Mus musculus: one gene and its partner. The protein of the gene in region 1 purifies or fractionates together with the protein of each later gene. This does not show direct contact. Links are inferred from orthologs where the notes say so. Each region holds a gene or a part of one and is shown on either strand. Other genes may lie near its edges. The genes, in order: Cdk5rap2 and Pde4dip.

Region 1 (9,656 bases):
GGCCAGCTTTGAGACTAGGAGGAAGACAGACCACATATAGTTCTCTACCTTCTCAGAGCTCCCTGTCTTATATACGGAGGGGGCAGATAATTAAATCAGCGTTGGTGGGGTAGCATATGAGGGGAAAGTGCTGTGACAGAGGTGACTCAGCCCAGCAGAGAGACTGGCATTTTTCTAGGACTTGCCATCTGCTCTGTACACTTGCTGAGACCCTGGGGTGCATCATCCAGGTATCTCAACATCTCAGAAGCTGAGTATTGCTCTGGCCATCACCCAGGAGCCTCTGGGCTTCTCGAATTTTGCAAAAGTGGGCATGGGTTGATGGAATTCATTTTCTCACTCATTTTTTTGAGAACTTGGATTTAAACCATTTCAGACAAGCTGTACTATATTTATGCTTTTATGTCCTGTTATGGCAGCTCGATAGATTAATTTTATCTTATAAATTGCATTTTCCCTCCCTAGTGTTTTTATTCTCCCGGTTGTATCTTTGTGTTCTTCTCAGTTGCTTGGCTAAATTTCAATCTACAGTTTTATTTTTCTGTCTCCTTGCCAGTGCCTGCAGCCCAGGCTGTTGTGAGAACAGCCTTCCAGGACAACCCAGGCGAGCAAGAAGGACCTGAAACCACACAGTCTGCTGGGAGAGACAAGGACATGGACAGTGACCAATATACAAGCTTTGAGATCGGTTAGAATTCAACCACCTATTACTGAGTACTAGACATTGTTCAGGATTGTTTTATATCAATGTTCTTGCTAGGCCTCTTGAGGGCTTTGATTAGCATTCCCATATAACATGTAGGACTGGTGAGGTTAATTTGAAAATTACTGACTTAGGGTCGGTCACACAGCTGGGAGGGAGCCAGAAGAGTCAGGGAACATCATAACGTCTTTGGGACTTAATGGTCTAGCATCAGACTCTTCGAGGTAGAAGGTGGGCTCAGGTTGTTTCATATAACACAGTCATTGCTCAGAGCATCTCACACTTCATGGACATGGGATCGTAGCAGGCCACTAGGATCCAGCTTAATGTTAGCTGTTGTTGAATTTGTCTTTGTACGAGCAGCGAGGCCTCCAGCAAGTTGTATCACCTCCCTTTAATTATGAAGTATTAAAAGCACACAGATATACATAAAGGACAGTACAACAACTATCCACATTTCTGTTTATCCAAGATGAGCCAATGCTTAATGCTTACTCCCTTTTCCTTAGATGTTTTATCTTTTCATTAAAAACAAAATCACTCTTGTTTTGGATAGAATTCACTTCATAAAACGTTGTGATCATTGGGAACTCTAAATCTGTGATGAGATGGCTAGGGAATAACCAGTCTCTGGAAAAAGACTGAGCCGTGGCCTCAGAAGGTCTGCAGTGCATTCTCCTCAGCCTGGACGACTGCACGGCCTTGTGTTTCTTCTGGGTGTTCTGGGCGTTCAGTCCAAAGCTCCTGTACCAGGCAGCAAAGTGCTGCTTAGCTCAGTGTGGGTTATGGTTTGCATGTGAAATGCCTCTCACAGGTTCATGTGTTTGAACACTTGCTCCCTAGTGGAGGTGCTGATTTTAGAAGCTGTGGAGCCTGGTCCTTGTTCATGGCTAGCGAATGGTGGAGGTCTCTGGATGGTGCCTTACTCTCTCAGTAACCACTTGTCACTGAGCTGTATATATCTTTAGGAGTGTGCGTCCAGTGCAATACACATGTGGCTGCTTCTTCTTGAATTCCCCTTTTCCTTGCCTCGCTGAAGCTTCATTCTGAGGTCTCTACCCTCAATGTATCTTTTGTGGGCATACTTTTTGACTTTCTTAGGACTTGAATACTGGTGTTGAGTTAATTTGTTCACTGACTGCCTGGCTCGGAGCCGCATGCCATGGGTAACACCTTACCTTTGGCTCCTTTTCCAAGAACACCTTGGTAAGTGCTTGGGGAGTGAATGGAGGCCATAAGTTGCCCGGGTCCTATTGGCCTTACTCTTGAGGCTTCAGAGATGTCTCTACTCATGCTTTTGACATAGGAGACCCCAATCATAGGAGTAGTTTAACAGAAAGCATCATTTGCAGTGTTTCTGTTTTATAGTTTGGGTAGATCCTCCAGCTCTTAAAGCCTTCAGTAACACAGACAACTCAGGTGGGGTGCTGGGCACATAAGCCGCTTTTGGTACATGCATAATCTTAAGTCCCAGGCCTGCCAGCCTGTGAGTTCAGACGTGTACTTATACACATTATACACATTATACATATACACATTTCTCACAGCGTTCATACAGTTTTAACCAAACAGTGGAGGTGCTTTCTTCAGAACTTCATTTTGGGCTGCTGAGCAGAGGTTAGCAAAGTGACATTGCGTTACTGATGCAGGCCATAAGACTTGCTATATATTGGCCTTGGAGCTAAGAAGTCAAATCCCTGCCTCTGCTAATTCACAACTATTGTAGACGGTGGACTTTTGAGGGTACTTCTTCTTAAGACAGGTTGTGGTGGTGGTGGTGTTTTTGTTTTCCTTTTACTGACAATGGATTTTTTTCTCTCTCACATAATGTATACTGATTATAGTTTCCCCTGGCTCGGCTCCACCACGTTCCCCCTCACCTGCTCACCTGTCACGATCTACTACTCCGTGTTTCTGATTTGAAAGTAAACAGGCTTCTAGTGGATAATAATACAAAAGAATGTGTAATAAGATGAAACAAAAACTATCACATGGGAATTGAACAAGACAAACCAATAGAAGGAAAATAAATATCTCAAGAGAAGCCACAAGAATCAGAGACCACTGATTTGTACCTTCAGTGCAAATCCAATAACAGCACTAAACTGGAAGCCATAATGTATACCGGATGGACCCGGGTCAGACCTATGCAGTCCTGTGACTACTGCATCAGTCTAGGAGTTCATGAGAACTTTAATTACATTGATTTAGACGGCCTTATTTTCATGATATCCTCCATCCCCTTTGCCTCTCAGACTCTTTCCTTATCTTTGTCTGGAGATTTCCATGAACTCTGAGGGGAAGAATTTGATGGAGATATCTCATTTAAGTCTGTGTGTTCTAAGGTTTTTCATTCTCTGCATTGTGTCTAGCTGTCTCTGTATTTGTCTCATTTGCTGCAGGATGGTATTTCTCTGGTGATGGCTAAACAAGGCACTGCTCTGAGTATAGCAGAATGTCATTAGGAGTCATTTTACTGCTGTTTTTTAAAAAGAATAGTAGTATTTGTTTTTACCCTATGTCCCTGGGCTATGTAGTCTCTGTTTCTTGGTCACTCAAGCTGTGCCAGGTATAGATCCCATCTCATGGAGTAATCCTGAAGTCAAATCAGATATTGATTGGTTATTCCCAAAATGTTTGAGTCACGATTGCCCTAGCAATTCTTGCAGACAGAATATCATTGCAGAGTAAAGATTTTGTGGCTGGCTTGGTGTTTACATTTCACTTTCGGTAGTAGGTATAAGACCATCCTTTACCAAAGATAGTAGAACCTAGGAAATGGGAGTGAAGACTGTTCATACCAGCTTGACTTCTCCATGCTCAACAAGATATGCAGGTGTTTTCTTCAGTAATGGGGCCTTGCTGACAGTTTGTGAGAACAACCCGTAGCCTTGGCAACAGCCTGAGTTGTTTGGAGATTCCTATGGGACCTCTTTGACCAACAATTCAATTAAATGTAACCCATCTCAGGACTGAAGGTTTCATTTGGTGACAAGAGATGAACAATTGGGACTCTGTCTCCTCCATTGTTTGGCATTTCACTTAGATCACCTTCATATATGTATATTATCCCGTCCCGCGGGATTCAGTTATTCGTGGGTGCGAGGGGGACCGCAAACCTGGAAGGAAATGGGAGTAAAAGAAAGAAGAGTCGGAGGACCAAGTAGATTGAACCTATCAAGGTCTCGTTTATTAGGCTGAGGTGCCTTCTTTTTAAAGCATACATCTCGGGGAATATGGGAGGGGTCTAGGGAGAATTATACAAAGAACAAAGAAGTGGGCATCTGCTGACATGGGGGCCGAAGTCAGGCGCCAGGCAGTGGGCACTCTGGATCTTATCTCTGGAACATCGATCCTCCTTGACGGCCTTGGGGGTCAGGCTGGGCTCAGGCGTAACTCATGTCCTTGGATGGCATGGGAACTCAGGAAGAGATAGGGAAGAGGGGACTATAATTTAGCTTTTACAGCCTCAGGTGCCAGGAAAGGAATAGGGAGGAAAGGGGGGTGACAACCAGCTCTTAGTACAAGGCCCTTGATTTGTTAAGGAGATTGTGAAGGGCTCACTTTCTCACGGGATGGTCTCTGACAGTATATATTTTAGGAAGCTTCTACTTGTATTGTGTTTCCATAGTACCTTGAGGGTGCGTCTAAAGGGTGACATATAGGAATGCTATGCTTGTTGGTTTGTTAGGAGCAGAGTTTAAAGTGAAGGTGTGAGCATACACAATACCCCTGTCACTCTAAGTGCCAGGTCTCAAAGTGACATTTGTGTAGGAGTTGCCTTTTTCTATGCTTTATGTTTTATTCCTTCACAAAACACATCAAGATTATGTTTAGTTTTTTGAGGGAAGAAAGATTTCTTCTTCATACTATCAAAAGCAAGCCATGGTATGAGGTTTCTATGTTCATGGGGCTATTCAATCTTTTGATGTTGCAGCATGACATTGTGGTCTATAGATGTGGTAGGCTGCATCCTCGGCTTCCTGGGACACATGTAACTTATGGGGCTTAGGTTAGTATATATTTCCTTATCTTGGAGGATGACTTCCTAGAAGAAAACCTTGCTGAGAGATCAGGTGTTCTTTCTGCTTCTTATCCTCTTTGAGCCCAGTAGTTTTCACGTACATTTTCCATCGCCCGTCTTGTGCCGGATACCAGAGAAACAGATGAACAGCATGGTTTCCCCTTGATGACATATTAAGCACTGGAGAACTGCTATATTGGGAATACTTCTATTAAGGCATGTACCTACTGTTGTCCAAAAATCCAATGATGATATTGACATTGTTAACAATGATAAGAGTAGCCTTGAGACTGTGAGGAACAAATTATAGAACCTGTGGCTCCACAGACTGTCTTTCTGAAAGCCATCCTAGATCATCTAGTCCGGCTCATGTTGTTGTCTTTAAAGCCTTTTCCTGAGCCAGCCTTTGCTTTGATGCCTTCCATGATGACATCTTCTTCCATCGTTGACGAATTGGTTCTAAAGAATCAAGGAGCATTCCTGTTCTCTGAATTCATTTACTGCTGAATTTATTATTCCTGTTAGTCTTTTTCTGATATTGTTCAATATAATCTCAACCAACAAATACTGCTGGTTCTTCTCCTGAGTGGTGTTCTTGTTACCTTGCAAGTGAAATTCTGGAGGCTCAGAGTGGCCCATTAATTTGCTCAAGTAAGGTTATTTAAAACAAAGTGGCACAGCCAGTGTTGGAGACCAGGTCTTTTGATTTTAAAGAAGAGATTTTTCAGGCCTAGAAAGATGTCTGAGTGGATAAGAACCCCCACTTACAATGGACCTATATCAAAACCTAACTCCTGAGCTCACAACTGCCTGTAATTCTGGTTCAGCCACTCTCTCCTGACCTGCATGGGCACCTACATGTATGTGATGCATAGACAAGGGGGCACATAATTGTACACAGAAAAGTGTACAGTCCAAAGGTAGGCTCACAGAGAAAGGAAAACTAGGCCTGACTACGGAAGGACAAATATTTATTCTGGACACAGTAAATGCTAAAACATGGAACTGTGAAATAGCTTGATGTGGGGAGAAGGGTCTGATGACTTTGTGGGGACATGCCATGGATGGTGTGTGGGGCTAGGTTGCTTCCAACATGACAAAGAGGGTGGATTGAATGGTAAAATAGTATGCTAGTCAGCTTTCTAGAGCATGACGAAATTTCTGAGACAATCAACTTGAAATAACAGAGAATATTGACTCATGGGTGCAGTCCATGACTTCCTGGACTTGTCACTCTGAGCCTTTGGTGAGGGAATAATATCATGGTGGGGACATTTGATAAAGTATACCTGTTCACCCTCATAATGTTTAGGAACCATTTAGAAACCAGGGTTTGGGGGATAGGGTCTTAAAAGTCCTCTTTAGTGATGCTTTTTTTCTACAAGGCTCCACCTCCTAAACACAGCACAACCTTCCAGTGGTGTTATAAACCAAGCCTTTAATACATGGGCTTTGGGGACATTTAAGATCCAGAATTCAACTGTGGGAAGCTGTAGAGGTAAGAAGTTGATTGCAGCAAAAGGAGACACTGACAAAGATTAGTATTTGATTTTCAGATTCTGAAATCTGTCCACCTGATGACCTTGCCTTATTACCAGCATGCAAAGAGAATCTTGAAGACCTCCTAGGCCCATCCTCCATAGCCACTTACCTGGATTCCAAGAGTCAGCTCTCTGTTAAAGTCAGCGTGAATGGAACTGACCAGTCTGAGAATATCAATATCCCTGATGACACAGAAGACTTAAAACAGAAAATCCACGACTTGCAAACCGAGCTGGAAGGCTACCGGAACATCATTGTCCAGCTACTGAAGCACTCTCAGTGCAGTGAGGCTATTATCACAGTTTTGTGTGGGACAGAAGGGGCCCAAGATGGCTTGAACAAGCCTAAGGGCCATATTGATGAGGAAGAGATGACATTTTCAAGTTTGCACCAAGTACGATATGTGAAGCATATGAAAATCCTCCGTCCACTAACCCCGGAGATGATTGATGGCAAGATGCTAGAGAGCCTCAAGCAGCAGCTGGTGGACCAGGAGCAGGAGCTACAGAAGGAGCAGGACTTGAACTTGGAACTTTTCGGTGAAATCCATGACCTGCAGAACAAGTTCCAAGACCTCTCGCCATCAAGGTACATCCTATTCCTGCTTCATCCTCCTCATTAGGCTTGCAGGTTTCCCAGGTCGTTGCTATGTAGGAGCCCAGCAGCTCTTGAGCGAATGCTACTCCCTGGGTGGGTAGAGTATACCCTAGGGAAGGCTTCACTTGGGCTTCAGGCAGCCACACAGCTTCACTCTATGCATGCGTATGTTAGGAGCTGGGCAACTTCTGAGACTGGCAGGGCAGGAGTTGCCCTCCTCAGGCTGAGGACTCAGTGTAGAAACTCCACAGCCATCAGACGGTGGATTGCAGTGTGTTTACTGAGCTGCCTGCTGTGTTTATTTCTGAACTCTGTTATTGGCTTTTGCCTTGTTGTGGAAATAAAATGGATGTCCTAAGCAGGTTGGGAGGAATATAAATGTTTTTCATATCTTTACCCTTTAAGGTCATCTTAGAGAAATAAGCCTGTGTAGAAAGCAAGAAATTCTTGGGTCATGAAGATAATGCTTTATAGTTATAAATATGTACACTGGCTTCGTGAGATATGGCAAAAAAACGGGATAGTCTGTAAATTTGACCTTCATTCGTTACTAATTTGAGAAAAGCGCTGTTCTGGATTGTCAAGAGATAGAGTGATATTTTATTTTTCAAGGCTACCCAAGCAGCAAGACTGAGGGAAACTTATCAGCCTTCAGGCTCGGACGTGTTTGTTTGATTTTGTTTTGAGATGGGAGTTTCACCACATAGTTGAAGCTGCTCTTAAACTCATATTCTTCCTGCCTCTGCCTCCTGAGTGCTGGATGGCAAGTGTGTACCATTCCACTGGGAAAGAACTCAACTATTTAGTTCCAGACACACTGAGCAGGAGGCATTCTCAACTTGTTTTAGTTAGCAGAGCAACTGAGACTCCTAGAGATTTCTGTGACTTGCCCGTGGTCAGAGCCCCTGCCAGGGTTCCAGCCTATACTGCCCACTCTTAGTGTTCCCCGGAACTACCCCACCCTTGAGATGGCGCTGCTGTGATTTGCCTGTAGTGTATTGGTATTAACAGTGGTCATGGTGAACAGCTTGCTGTGACTGTTTTTCCTCGTCTGAGGAAGCTGCAGGCTTGCTCTTACCGACTCCTGGGCCTGCGTAGAGAAGGGTGGCACCTGGTGGTGAGGGGGTGGTATTGCATGATAACTCTTCACATTCTGTGGGTTTGAAAAGCAAAGCTTTAGCTCTAAATACCTTTGAGAAAGCTTTCCTTCTCTGCAAGAATCCATTTGTTAGAAGCCTGGGAGAACCAGGTGACCTACGATAACTTGATCCCATGACTGATGGGACCTAGTCACTCAGTAAGGTGGTGGCCTGGCGTCCAACTGACTCTTTCCGTTGGAAGCAGGGAGTCCTTTCTTTTTACCCTTGCCGTATACATACTTGTACTTGGTGAGAATTTTCAGTGGGTCCCTGACCTTGGGGCATTTGTTTCTACAATTCAGAATAGTGTCTTTGAAGAGTGTATGGAAACTAATTGTGCTCCTGAGTCCTTGCCAATCTATGCTTTAATTGGGGGCTCTCTAAGGTTACAAATATTGCAGAAGAATCTCTGTTCAAGCATTTGTTGGCTGTTTGAACTCAAAGAAGGGGTGACCTTGTACAGTTTCAATTTTTCTAAAGTATATATGCTTGTACAGCTACGGGCTTTCAGAAATTATGCTCTGTCATTTTTCCAATTAGTGTTGAGGTCACAAAAATTCAATTCGAAAATGACACACACATTTTCCTTCCCTCTTTTATCAGATACGATTCATTGGTTCAGTCCCAAGCGAGGGAGCTCTCCCTTCAGCGACAGCAAATTAAGGATAGCCATGGCATCTGTGTCATTTACCGTCAACACATGAGCACCATGATCAAGGCGTTTGAGGAGCTTCTGCAGGCCAGTGATGTGGACAGTTGCGTGGCCGAGGGCTTCCGGGAGCAGCTGACACAGTGTGCTGGACTGCTAGAGCAACTGGAGAGGCTGTTTCTCCATGGTACGTAGGTAGAGGCCCTCACTGTGACTCTCCGGCTCCTTCGGTGTGGGCACCAGCAGGTTTGATTCGTTGGCTTTGCTGTACACACAAACCTGGCTGTTCTGCCATTAAGCCGAAACAGCCTTCTACTTCACAGTCCTGCGCTTTGCTTCTCTTGTTCCCCCTTGTTTTTCTCAGCCCTCCTATTAGGTAAGTGCTCCTGGACAATCTCTGTCATAAGACAGCAACAGTCCTGTCACTCACCGACATCACTGTCCCCGCTCCTCCATTTTTCTTGGTTTTCATAGTCAGGAAGCTAGTGAGTTAGTGAGTGAGTGAGTCCAGTTTTATGGTATGTAGAGTGGTCCACCAGAGGAAGTACCTTCTCTGTGGTTGTGTTGAGAATGCATGGCCATGCTGGGGTTTTACAACTCATCTCTTCGCATAAGTCTGTTCCCGCTAGATCTGTTTGTATTCTTGATATTGTAGACATTACTTGGTTGGAGCATCACAGTGCTCTTGGAATTGGACAATAACTCAGTGTCATAGTCACTGTTGTGTTGCTTTAAAGAGACACCATGACCAAGGCAGCTCTTGTGAAAAAGGAAGCATTTATTTGGAGTTTGTTTACAATTTCAGAGGTTTTGTCCATTGTCATCATGGTGGGGAAAATGGCAGAGTACAAACAGTAGCTGAGACCTACCTTATTTGTAGGGGTTGGGGAGTACGACACTGGCCTGGCGTAGGCCTTTGAACCTCAAAGTCCTCTCCCAGTGACACACTTCCTCCAACACATCCACACCTCTTAATCCTTATAATGCTCTCAAATAGTACTA
Region 2 (9,656 bases), on another chromosome or scaffold:
AATGGTCTTTATCCTTTCTAATACATATGTGACCCCCAACCATAAAATTATTTTCTTGCTACTCCATAACTGTAATTTTGCTACTGTTATGAATCATAATGCAAATGTCTGATATGCAACCCCTGTGAAAGGGTTATTCATCCCCAAACGGGTTGCAGTCCACAGGTTGAGAGCCATTGCTTTAAGGTTTGATGGCCGTGGAGGGGATCCAGATCACAACTTTTCTTATACAGGAGGTTTTCCAACGTGAACAAAGAGTTCTTCAATCTGGAAAAGTCCTATCCCCTGTCTCCCTGAAGGAGGCACGGAAAAACCAACTGGTTAGCGTTGGGCAAAGGCAAGCACAAGCAAACAGATGCTACCACCTGTGGGTGTGCCCAGTCAGATAGCCCATCACATTCTTAATCCCTAACTATGGGATGTCTCCTACTTCCGGAACTTTCCTGGATTCGATCATGAGGAATAACAGTAGGAACGAGGAATGGAGCCCCTGGGCTTTTCAGACCCTCCTCTGGGTGTCTCCTGCTCAGAAATGCAGAGGGTGAAAGTCAGGCTTGAGGCTTTGAGTCTTCATCTAACCGATATTCTGTGATGAACTGGGGTACTAACCTCCCCCTGCCCCCTCCCCGACCCCGTGTCCACTGCTAGTCTCCATTCTCAGCCATCTCGATTCCCTTACCGCTCTTGGCTACTGATACCCTCTCTCACTGTGTTTCTATCTGCCCAGGTGTTAGCATTGCCCCTCCCGCCTCCACATCCACGCTGCTCAGCAACCAGACTGAAGCTAGCTCTCCCCACTACATCAACCCTGCCCAGCCCCACACTCCGACAAGGAGCACCATAGAGCTGGGACGAATCCTGGAGCCTGGATACCTGGGAAGCAGCGGCCAGTGGGACATGATGAGGCCCCAGAAAGGGAGCGTCTCTGGGGAGCTGTCCTCAGGCTCCTCGATGTACCAGCTTAACTCCAAGCCCACTGGTAAGGCACAGAGCTGGGACCTTCTCTCCTCGGTCAGGAAATACATAGAAAGGATACAACAGTCTCTACCCCTCATACATGCTCTATGCACAAAATCCAGTCACAGCAGATAGAAGAGCATAACTATGGCAAAAAGCACAATGCAGCCCGGTCCCAACAGCAAGAAACTGAATTTCCAAGAGAAAGCCAGAAGTGAGTCAGTTCACTTGTAACCTAGCAGTGCTGCCTCTCCTGGGTCCTTCGGGGTCCTAGAACCATGCAGGGGATTCCTTCTTCCTGCCTGACTAAAAGTGACATGTGAAAGCATCGAGCATCAGTCCTTAGCTACGATTGGTAGGTTGAAGGCATGTGGTTTTTACCTTAGGTCTTTTTTCTAGGTGGGAAAGAATGGATTTTGCTAAAAGCTATTGAGTAGCTTATCAGGAAAAGGAATTGGAAAAAAAAAAAAAAAGGCAGTAAGGCCTTCCTTTTCACCCCCAAAACCACACCCGAGAGGTGGATCCGCCTTTCCAGATGGCAGTTGGGCTCAGTTAGATCTGTCGGTTATTTTCTCAGTGATTTGAAGCCCCCGTTCGCCAAGAATGGAGGCCCGTGGGCTTTCCTTAGCAAGAGGCCACCCTATGGTCATGAAGCTCCTGTGTCACTAAGTGGAGCTGATTGACTGTGTGAAAGGACACTGTGGGCAAAAGGAAGGCGACATTGGGGGACAGGCTGGGTTGTCCACTGGCAGAGCTCACCTCACCCTAGTAACCAGCCTTGTGTCTCCTGCTTCTGCCCTGTCCGGGGATGATGGCTGCAGGCGCTGACCTGTTGGAAGAGCATTTAGGTGAGATCCGGAACCTGCGCCAGCGCCTGGAGGAGTCCATATGTGTCAATGACCGGCTGCGGGAGCAGCTGCAGCACAGGCTCAGCTCCACTGCCCGAGAAAACGGTAGGCAAGGCCACTAGGCAGAGCCTCACGCTTTTCTAATCAGTCCGATACTCTTTACTGGATTGTCACAGTCAGGCGAGGGTTGGAGGGTATGGAGAGCCGTTATTTCTGCTGTGCACTCTGAGCTCAGAGACTGACTTTCCTCAGACAAAGATCTGGCCTCTCGTCCTTAACCTGTTTATATGCACTGTGTCCTTGTGATTGATAACCAGTAGAGGCAGGTCTATGAAGACCCACCCCCGACCCACTTCACTCAGGAGGCCATTAGTCCCTACCTCCCCCATCCCACAAGATGTTGTCATTTGGATGTCACTCTTTGTATATGCAACTGCTCATTCCTCCCCAGCTAGTTAGGAGACGCGTCCTACACTGATATAATGGGTACAAGTGCTGGGTGCACACAAAGACGGCATGGTCTGAAAACACACACACACTGCTCAGCATCCAGCCATTATGCTCAAGTTAATCCCAGGCCTTGAGGGCTGGAGCTTGCTGCTGGGTTGGGACAGCAGATCTTTGAGGGGATGTAACATGGGACGTGTGTGTTGTCCGGGACAGGTTCCACCTCTCACTTCTACAGTCAGGGCCTGGAGTCCATGCCTCAGCTCTACAATGAGAACAGAGCCCTAAGGGAAGAAAACCAAAGCCTGCAGACACGGCTCAGCCATGCTTCCAGAGGTAGGTTGTGTAAACCCAGACTTACAGTCCTCCTAGGACTATCTCTATCCTCGCCAGGGCAATCACCAGTTGGAAAAAGCAAAGAGAAGGTTTAGTTACCAGCCCAATATTTACATTGCTAATCTGTCTTCAAAGGGCTACTCCCAAGGCAGTGGTTCTCAACCTGTGGTTCAAGACCCTTTGAGGAGGGTCAAGTGACCCTTTCATAGGGGTTGCCTAAGACTTTTAGAAAACACAGACGTTTTATGATTCATGACAGAAGCAAGATTACAGTTATGAAGTAAAAACAAAAATAACTCTATGTCTGGGGATCACCACAGCATGAGGAACTGTATTAAAGGGTTTCAGCATTAAGAAGGTTGAGAACCACTGCCATAAGAGATCCTAACCCTCGCCCTCAGGCTCCTAGGTTCTAAGACAGAATGGCTCTAGGAAGGTTATCCCTTTTGAAAGCCTGCCTATATTCAATAACAGTGCCTGACCGGTCAGTTTGGAATCCATCCCCTTCTGTCTGCTCACACCTGATTGGAACCATAAAACCAGAGAGCATGCTTGTGTGTATTTTCTCATACAGCCTCAAATAAGTACAGCTCTGGACAGCTGTCTGGGTCCTGTTCTGCCATTCCTCTGCCTTTCCCTACAGTCCTCTTCAGGCTGCTCTCCGGCGGTCCTCCTATGGTTCCATGTTCTCTAGAACTTTCCCAACCCTACTTAATGGTCATCTATAAGTGGGCATTATTGCCTATGTGGCCTGAGAGGCAAATTACATAGTATTAGTTGACTTGATTAAATCAATGTATAACTAGTAACAAATGATTTTTATTTACAAAAAAAATCTACTTAATGGCCATTAAAAGACTAAGAGCGATATATCAAAGGATTAAGTCCAGAATGAAAGAATCCTTGTGGAGGCAAAAGACGAGAAGAACTATTTCTAAGGAAACTCCTTAGTACTTTTGTACTAAGTCAGTTCAGAAAGACATGAGAGGCAGGGCCCTTGCTGGAGGATGACTAAGACTGCTGGATGAGGGCAAGGCAGAGAAATTAATCTACCAGTGCATGCTGGGACAGAGGAGGGCAGCCTCACAGATAGGAAATAGTAAGAGTTCCAAATGAACACAGTTATACCCAAGGACTGGCCTTATATAAAGAGTCCCTACAGATCATCTTTAAGAAGTTTTGACCAGAGAGGTATCACATGGCCAGAAAACACCAGCTGTCCACATTTTCAAAAGAATTGAAAAAGAATATGTTCTAAAAACCACAAACAAGAAATCAGTGCTGGTCTTTGATAAGACTGGAGGTGTACAGTTGAATAGCTGCCCACGAACACCTAGAAAACGCTGAGCTTCGGGAACTCGCTGTCTCCTCTAAGAGCTAGGGCAGGTGTTCTTAAATGGAGGGTCAGATACCACAAACACCACTGCCACCCAAGCCCCAGTACGTAGGGTCCACTAAGCCAGACTGCTCGGCCACACGGGACCTTCCTTCCCCTGGCCTCACGTGTGCTTGGGTTTGTCTTTCTCATGGGCTTCAGGCCATGACATAAATACCCCTGTGTCCCGCTCATCAGGACACTCCCAGGAAGTGGATCACCTGCGGGAGGCTCTGCTCTCCTCCAGATCCCAGCTTCAGGAGCTGGAGAAGGAGCTGGAGCAGCAGAAGGCTGAGCGGCAGCAGCTCCTGGAAGACTTGCAGGAGAAGCAGGATGAGATCGTGCAGTTCCGAGAGGAGAGGCTGTCGCTCCAGGAAAACAACTCCAGGTAGGCAGGGCCTTGATATGGAATGGCCCGGCTTCTCAGTGCAGAAGGGATATTGACAAATCAGTAGTTTCCTCCTTTGGGAACTTCAGTTCCTTCTTTACTCTTCTGCCTCACTGGTCACTTGGAGCAAAAGGAAGACTCTATTTGAGACACACACACAAAAAGAGAGAATAGTGTTTTTATAGTATGAAGTAGAGTGATAAAATCCTATTACAGAGGTTTCCATCTGTCAGAGACTGGCAGGAGAGCAGTCCCACCCTTCTCACTAGATGCATGACATCACTCTTGCCATAAACTGCAAGTTGTTATCCCAGTGGAAGCCCTGCATCTTTCTGTCAATGTGGAGAGCACTGTGGGGCAGAGAGGGGCTTGTAGTGTGCTTACACTGCTGCCTGCACACAGAGCTAGTGTTCCAACTTCAGGCTAACTAACTTTACCTGCCCCAGAGTCTGCCAAATGAATGTGATGGCCAGGCCATCCTACCAGGCCAACTGAGGCAAAGGTTGGCTCGAGGCTCATTTCTCCCACTTGGCTCAGTAAACCCTTGCCTCTCCTTGGCAGGCTGCAGCACAAGCTGGCCCTCCTGCAACAACAGTGCGAAGAGAAACAGCAGCTCTCCCTGTCCCTGCAGTCAGAGCTCCAGATCTACGAGTCCCTCTGTGAAAATCCCAAGAAGGCCTTGAAAGGTATGAGCCCCCATTCTCACCAAAGCCCAAGGGTTGACATGAGCAGATCAAGCCTGGGTACCCTTAAGGACAGACTGAAAGATCACTTCACCCACTTAATAAAAAAAAGCAACTTAATCAGGAGCAAGATTATAGCATGGTTTATATAAAGAAATACCCTAGGGCTGTCACCATCTGAAAGGATCCTTACCTGTGCTGAAGGACAGACCATGACAGCCCATACCATCAGCATCTATCCCGCCTCCCTTCCCCAAGTGGAGAAACCGACTCAAAACCAAAAGAAAGGAGAGGTAAGAAGTCAGGGCAGTGGGAAGGGAGGCTGCTGCCACATAGAAAGCCTAAAATTCAAGACCAGAGTTTACTTTCCAGGAAGACGGCTCCAGAGTTTTAAGATGCTGAGTCTATGGAACATACTAGAGTCAGGACTTAGGAGACCTCCAGTCTGGGAAGAATTTTGGATAAATGTAGCAGTGTTTTTAGATCAAGAGACAAGGTCCTACTGTGGAGATAAAGGACAGCAATAGCCATGCTAATTCAGAAGGGGGATAGCAAATAAGGCCCCAGCCCTGGGCAGAGGACCACAGGCCCTAGGGAAGAGTGCATCACCTGGTTATCCACCATCAAATGCTCAGCCCAGAAAACACAGGAGTGACATTATAGGGACTGAGCAGGTGTGTGTGTGTGTGTGTGTGTGTGTGTGTGTGTGAAACAATTAGGCCATGAGCTGGAAGGGGGTGGTTATATGGTTGAAAGGGAAGGGTGAAATGATATAATTTCAAAAAAATTTAAAATTGTGATAAGAGATATGGTACAACTGGAAGATAAGGGCAATGAATGCTGGGAATATTTTTTTCAAAAAACAGTCAAAAGTTAGTGAGAACTTGGAATGAGAGGAAGAGAAAACACACTAGAACCTTCATCCATGAAGCTGCTTCATCATGACCACCCTTCCCCTGCACCACACACACACACACACACACACACACACACACACACACACACACACACACTGGGTTTGTGTATCCTTTTCATGCTGTGTTCTGTTAGTGCATGGGCCTTCCTGAGTTCATTTCAAACCAATTACTACTAATTCTTCATTTGAATTCCAAAATCCAGCAAGGTAGCTAAAGCTGCAGGCTTTTCCTGTACTCATTTGATGACAAAGCATTCCTGAAGAGGTGGGAGGACAGCCAGTCTCTGTCTGCTTAGACTGTCCACGTAGCCGGTGACAAAAATAATTATGTGTTGGGCTAAGGCCTGAGGGCTGAGGGCAGCTGCGCCCTGCAGGTAGTTGGAGGTATAGATAAAGTCTTGGTAAAATCCAAAACTAATTCTGCCCTTCAAAATATAAGTGGCTCTCAGGTTGGACTGTTGATTAGATCTTTTTATCCTTCCATATCAAATGCGTGTGGTAAGTGGTGAAGAGAAATTGAAACTTCACTTAGGAATGTTGAGCCCAGGTCTAAGACCTGACTGACTTCCCGTGTTTTGTCCCCAGAAGCCCCACGTGTTCGGATTATCCTCCCTGCATATGGAATCCGTCAGTTGTCCTCCCTCGACCTTCACTCCTTTTTCGTTCAGTGCTGACCTGCTTTCTAGCCTGCAGTACAAAGTTTAACAGGGAGATGACGCAGTAGGCATATTCTCACCTGCCAGTCCAAACGCCTCATGGGCACACATGACTAATCTGACCCTCAGAGAAATCCCAGGCTAGTTATATGCAACCTTGCTGTGCTCCCAGGGCTGAATGAGAAGGTTGTATCCCACAGACGTGTGGCCAAGCCCCTGAGACTCCAGTGGGACCCTTGGCAGAAAGGAATGTCACAGAGCAATATCTGACTATTACATGGAAATGCATACTGGTGCCATTAGGTGTCCTCCCTTCTACTTTCAGCTTTTAGCCTAGATTCCTGTCACCAAGTCCCGGGTGAGTTAAGCTGCCTGGTGGCAGAGATTCGAGCTCTGAGAGGACAGTTGGAGCAGAGCATTGAAGTGAACAACCGTCTTCGGCTACAGCTGGAACAGCAGATGGATCGTGGTGCTGGCAAAGCCAGTCTCGGCCCCATCGCTGTTGGCCAGAGCTTCCCAGACAAGGCAGAGCCAGCAAACCTGCACCAAGGTAGGGAAGAAGAGGAGAGCCAGAGCCCTCTGCTCTGGGATGTCTGTGGGACGGGACAGTCTTGCTGAACCCATCAGTGAGGGTCAGACAGAATCTGGGGATGTTCTGGGGCCTCCCGAGTGACAGCCTGGCAGTTAAGATCAGGCCTGTCTCCAGATTCTGAGTTTGCTTCTCACAAGCCAGCATGCAGCATCCCTGGACTTGAAGCTCAGGGCACAGAGGTAATTACATCTGAAACTTACTTTGTCTTAAACGCTCAAGTGTCTTACTCTTAGTTTACTCCACTTGAAAATGGGGCTTATAAAAAAAAATATAGCCCGTATGGTTTTCTATAGTATTAAATAAAATAATTGTCAAAGGCTTGAAACAATAAGGATTGATTCCTCACATTTATGTAGTGCTTTGGAATTTACCAGTTTCCTCATATATACAAATTTTTTGAAATAGGGCACTTTCCCCTCTTCTGTGTTTCTCATGAGAAAATTGAATCCCAAGACAGTTAGTAGGCAAGCAAGGGTCACTGGGTCTAAGAATCAGGACCAGGACCAGGTGCCTGAGCTTTGCTGTAGTTTCTAACATCCAGGGTGATGGCCAAACTGCTGAACTGCACCCTTTGCGAACCCATTCATTCCACGGTAAACTATTTGTTTTCTCAGTGCCGTGTCAAGTGTTCTTCTACATGTTAACATCTATATTATGTACATCTGTGCACATTTGCATTTCACTTCCAGTCATGATGGTACTAGACCCTACATCCAAAATTATATCCAAAATCGGTCTTATAAAATACCTACCGATTTTTTCAACTAGAAATGACATTCTCATGAAACATTCACATCAATAGAAGAGCGCACACTAGGTGCCCTGCCGCCTCCCTGTGCTGTGGCCTGTGAGTGCTGGTTCCGAGGTTGATCTTGGGCTAGGCATGCACTGTGTGGCTCAGTGTGCAGCGTTCTGGCAGACCTGACACAGTGGCTGTTTCATTCCCTAGGTTCCGCTGCTTCCCCTCCAGTGCGGGACGTTGGCTTGAATTCCCCAGCCATGGTCCTCCCCAACTCTTCTTGCTCCGCTCCTGGCTCAGACCATGCCATTGTCACCAGGACAAACAACGGTAAATAAAGCGGTGAAAGGACTCAGGTGGTGATGGGGAATTATTGACGCAAACAACCTTCGGTTGGCTCTCTGAACCTGCCGTACCTGTGCCTAGAGATCTTTCTCAGTCTCGTGCTATGCACAGTCCTCTGCCTTGGTTGCTCTGTCATTGCTCTGCCCTTGAGTACGGCTCCTGTATTCATCATTCTTTACCTAGAAACTTACACATTAATAGTATTTACCCTGAATATTTCACCTGTTGAAAGATGTCACAATATCTTTTCTTTTTGCTGTGACCAAGTTTCCTGAGAAAGCAAAGCAGGTGAGAAAGGTGTGCTTCTGGCTCACCCCTGCAGGTTACACTCCACCAGAGCAAGTGTGTCACAGGAGCTTAAGGGAGCTTCTCCCATAGCATCTGACATCAGAATCAGAGAGCCAGGAACGCATGTATGCTAGTGCTTAGAGCCCCTGCCAAACTCTGTCAGGCTCAGGATAGCCTGTCTAGAGAACACTCCTGACCACAGTTAAGATGTGTCTTCCCAATAAGTTAATGCCATCAAAATGAAATTCTGTCTGGTGACACTACCACAACCCAGTAACGATGTGTCTATCAAAGTGATATAAGAATGATTATACAGAACACGGAATGCTCTGTGGACTCTGCCATCCTATAGTTTTGAAGGCTGACTCGCTCCTTGCCTCTTTCATTATCCCCTTGGAGTTCGAACTGAGGTCGTTATCATATGTAACAATGGATCCTACTTTTGCTTCTTTGTCAGAGCTAAGTTCAGATGATTCTGCAGCAATGAAGAACCCTCCCAAGCTGGAGGTCGATGCTACCGATGGCCCATTTGCCAACAAACACGGAAGACACGTCATCGGCCATGTTGATGACTACGATGCTCTGCAACAGCAGATTGGGGAAGGCAAGCTGCTGATTCAAAAGATACTGTCTCTCATGAGGTCAGCACGCAGCATCCCTGGGCAAGAAGCTCAGGACACAGAGGTAATTACCTGAACCTCTTAGTTACGCTCGTACTCTGGCTGCACCTTCTTTGCGAAGTCCTTACTTCTAGGCTTCCCATCTCCCAGCAGCCGGGAAGTGGCTTGTGTTTATCCCACCCAGGCCCTTCTCTGTCTCCTGTTTTCACTCTGCTACAGAACAGGCTGACTTGATATTTTGACCAAGAACTTCAGAAAACCCTGCACTTCATGATAAGGATGCTGGCATACAGCCCCAGCTAGGTAGACTAAAGTCAATCGTGCGGACAGGCATCCATATGAACTTGCATATGTGGAAGGGAGCAAACCTGATAACCCAGGTTGCCCTGTTCAGACTGAGCAGAGGAGGGGAGAAAGCCATCAAAACTCTCCAGGGAGCTTAGTAGTTGAGAGGGAGTAGGCACCA

What was found.
Region 2: the proteins of Cdk5rap2 (region 1) and Pde4dip purify together in Homo sapiens (affinity purification with mass spectrometry; 3 studies listed by BioGRID and IntAct, counting the BioPlex papers as one, with this or other methods). This does not show direct contact. The link is inferred for Mus musculus from reciprocal best matches to the Homo sapiens genes CDK5RAP2 and PDE4DIP.

What each region holds. Positions count from the first base shown.
Region 1 is NC_000070.6:70,263,676-70,273,331, reverse strand, and holds part of Cdk5rap2 (CDK5 regulatory subunit-associated protein 2), read left to right. Parts: intron 1-556; coding exon 557-688; intron 689-6,283; coding exon 6,284-6,857; intron 6,858-8,608; coding exon 8,609-8,841; intron 8,842-9,656. UniProt on the Homo sapiens protein: Potential regulator of CDK5 activity via its interaction with CDK5R1. Negative regulator of centriole disengagement (licensing) which maintains centriole engagement and cohesion. Involved in regulation of mitotic spindle orientation.
Region 2 is NC_000069.6:97,694,490-97,704,145, reverse strand, and holds part of Pde4dip (myomegalin), read left to right. Parts: intron 1-727; coding exon 728-979; intron 980-1,778; coding exon 1,779-1,910; intron 1,911-2,468; coding exon 2,469-2,588; intron 2,589-4,161; coding exon 4,162-4,351; intron 4,352-4,912; coding exon 4,913-5,037; intron 5,038-6,931; coding exon 6,932-7,156; intron 7,157-8,147; coding exon 8,148-8,267; intron 8,268-9,027; coding exon 9,028-9,254; intron 9,255-9,656. UniProt on the Homo sapiens protein: Functions as an anchor sequestering components of the cAMP-dependent pathway to Golgi and/or centrosomes.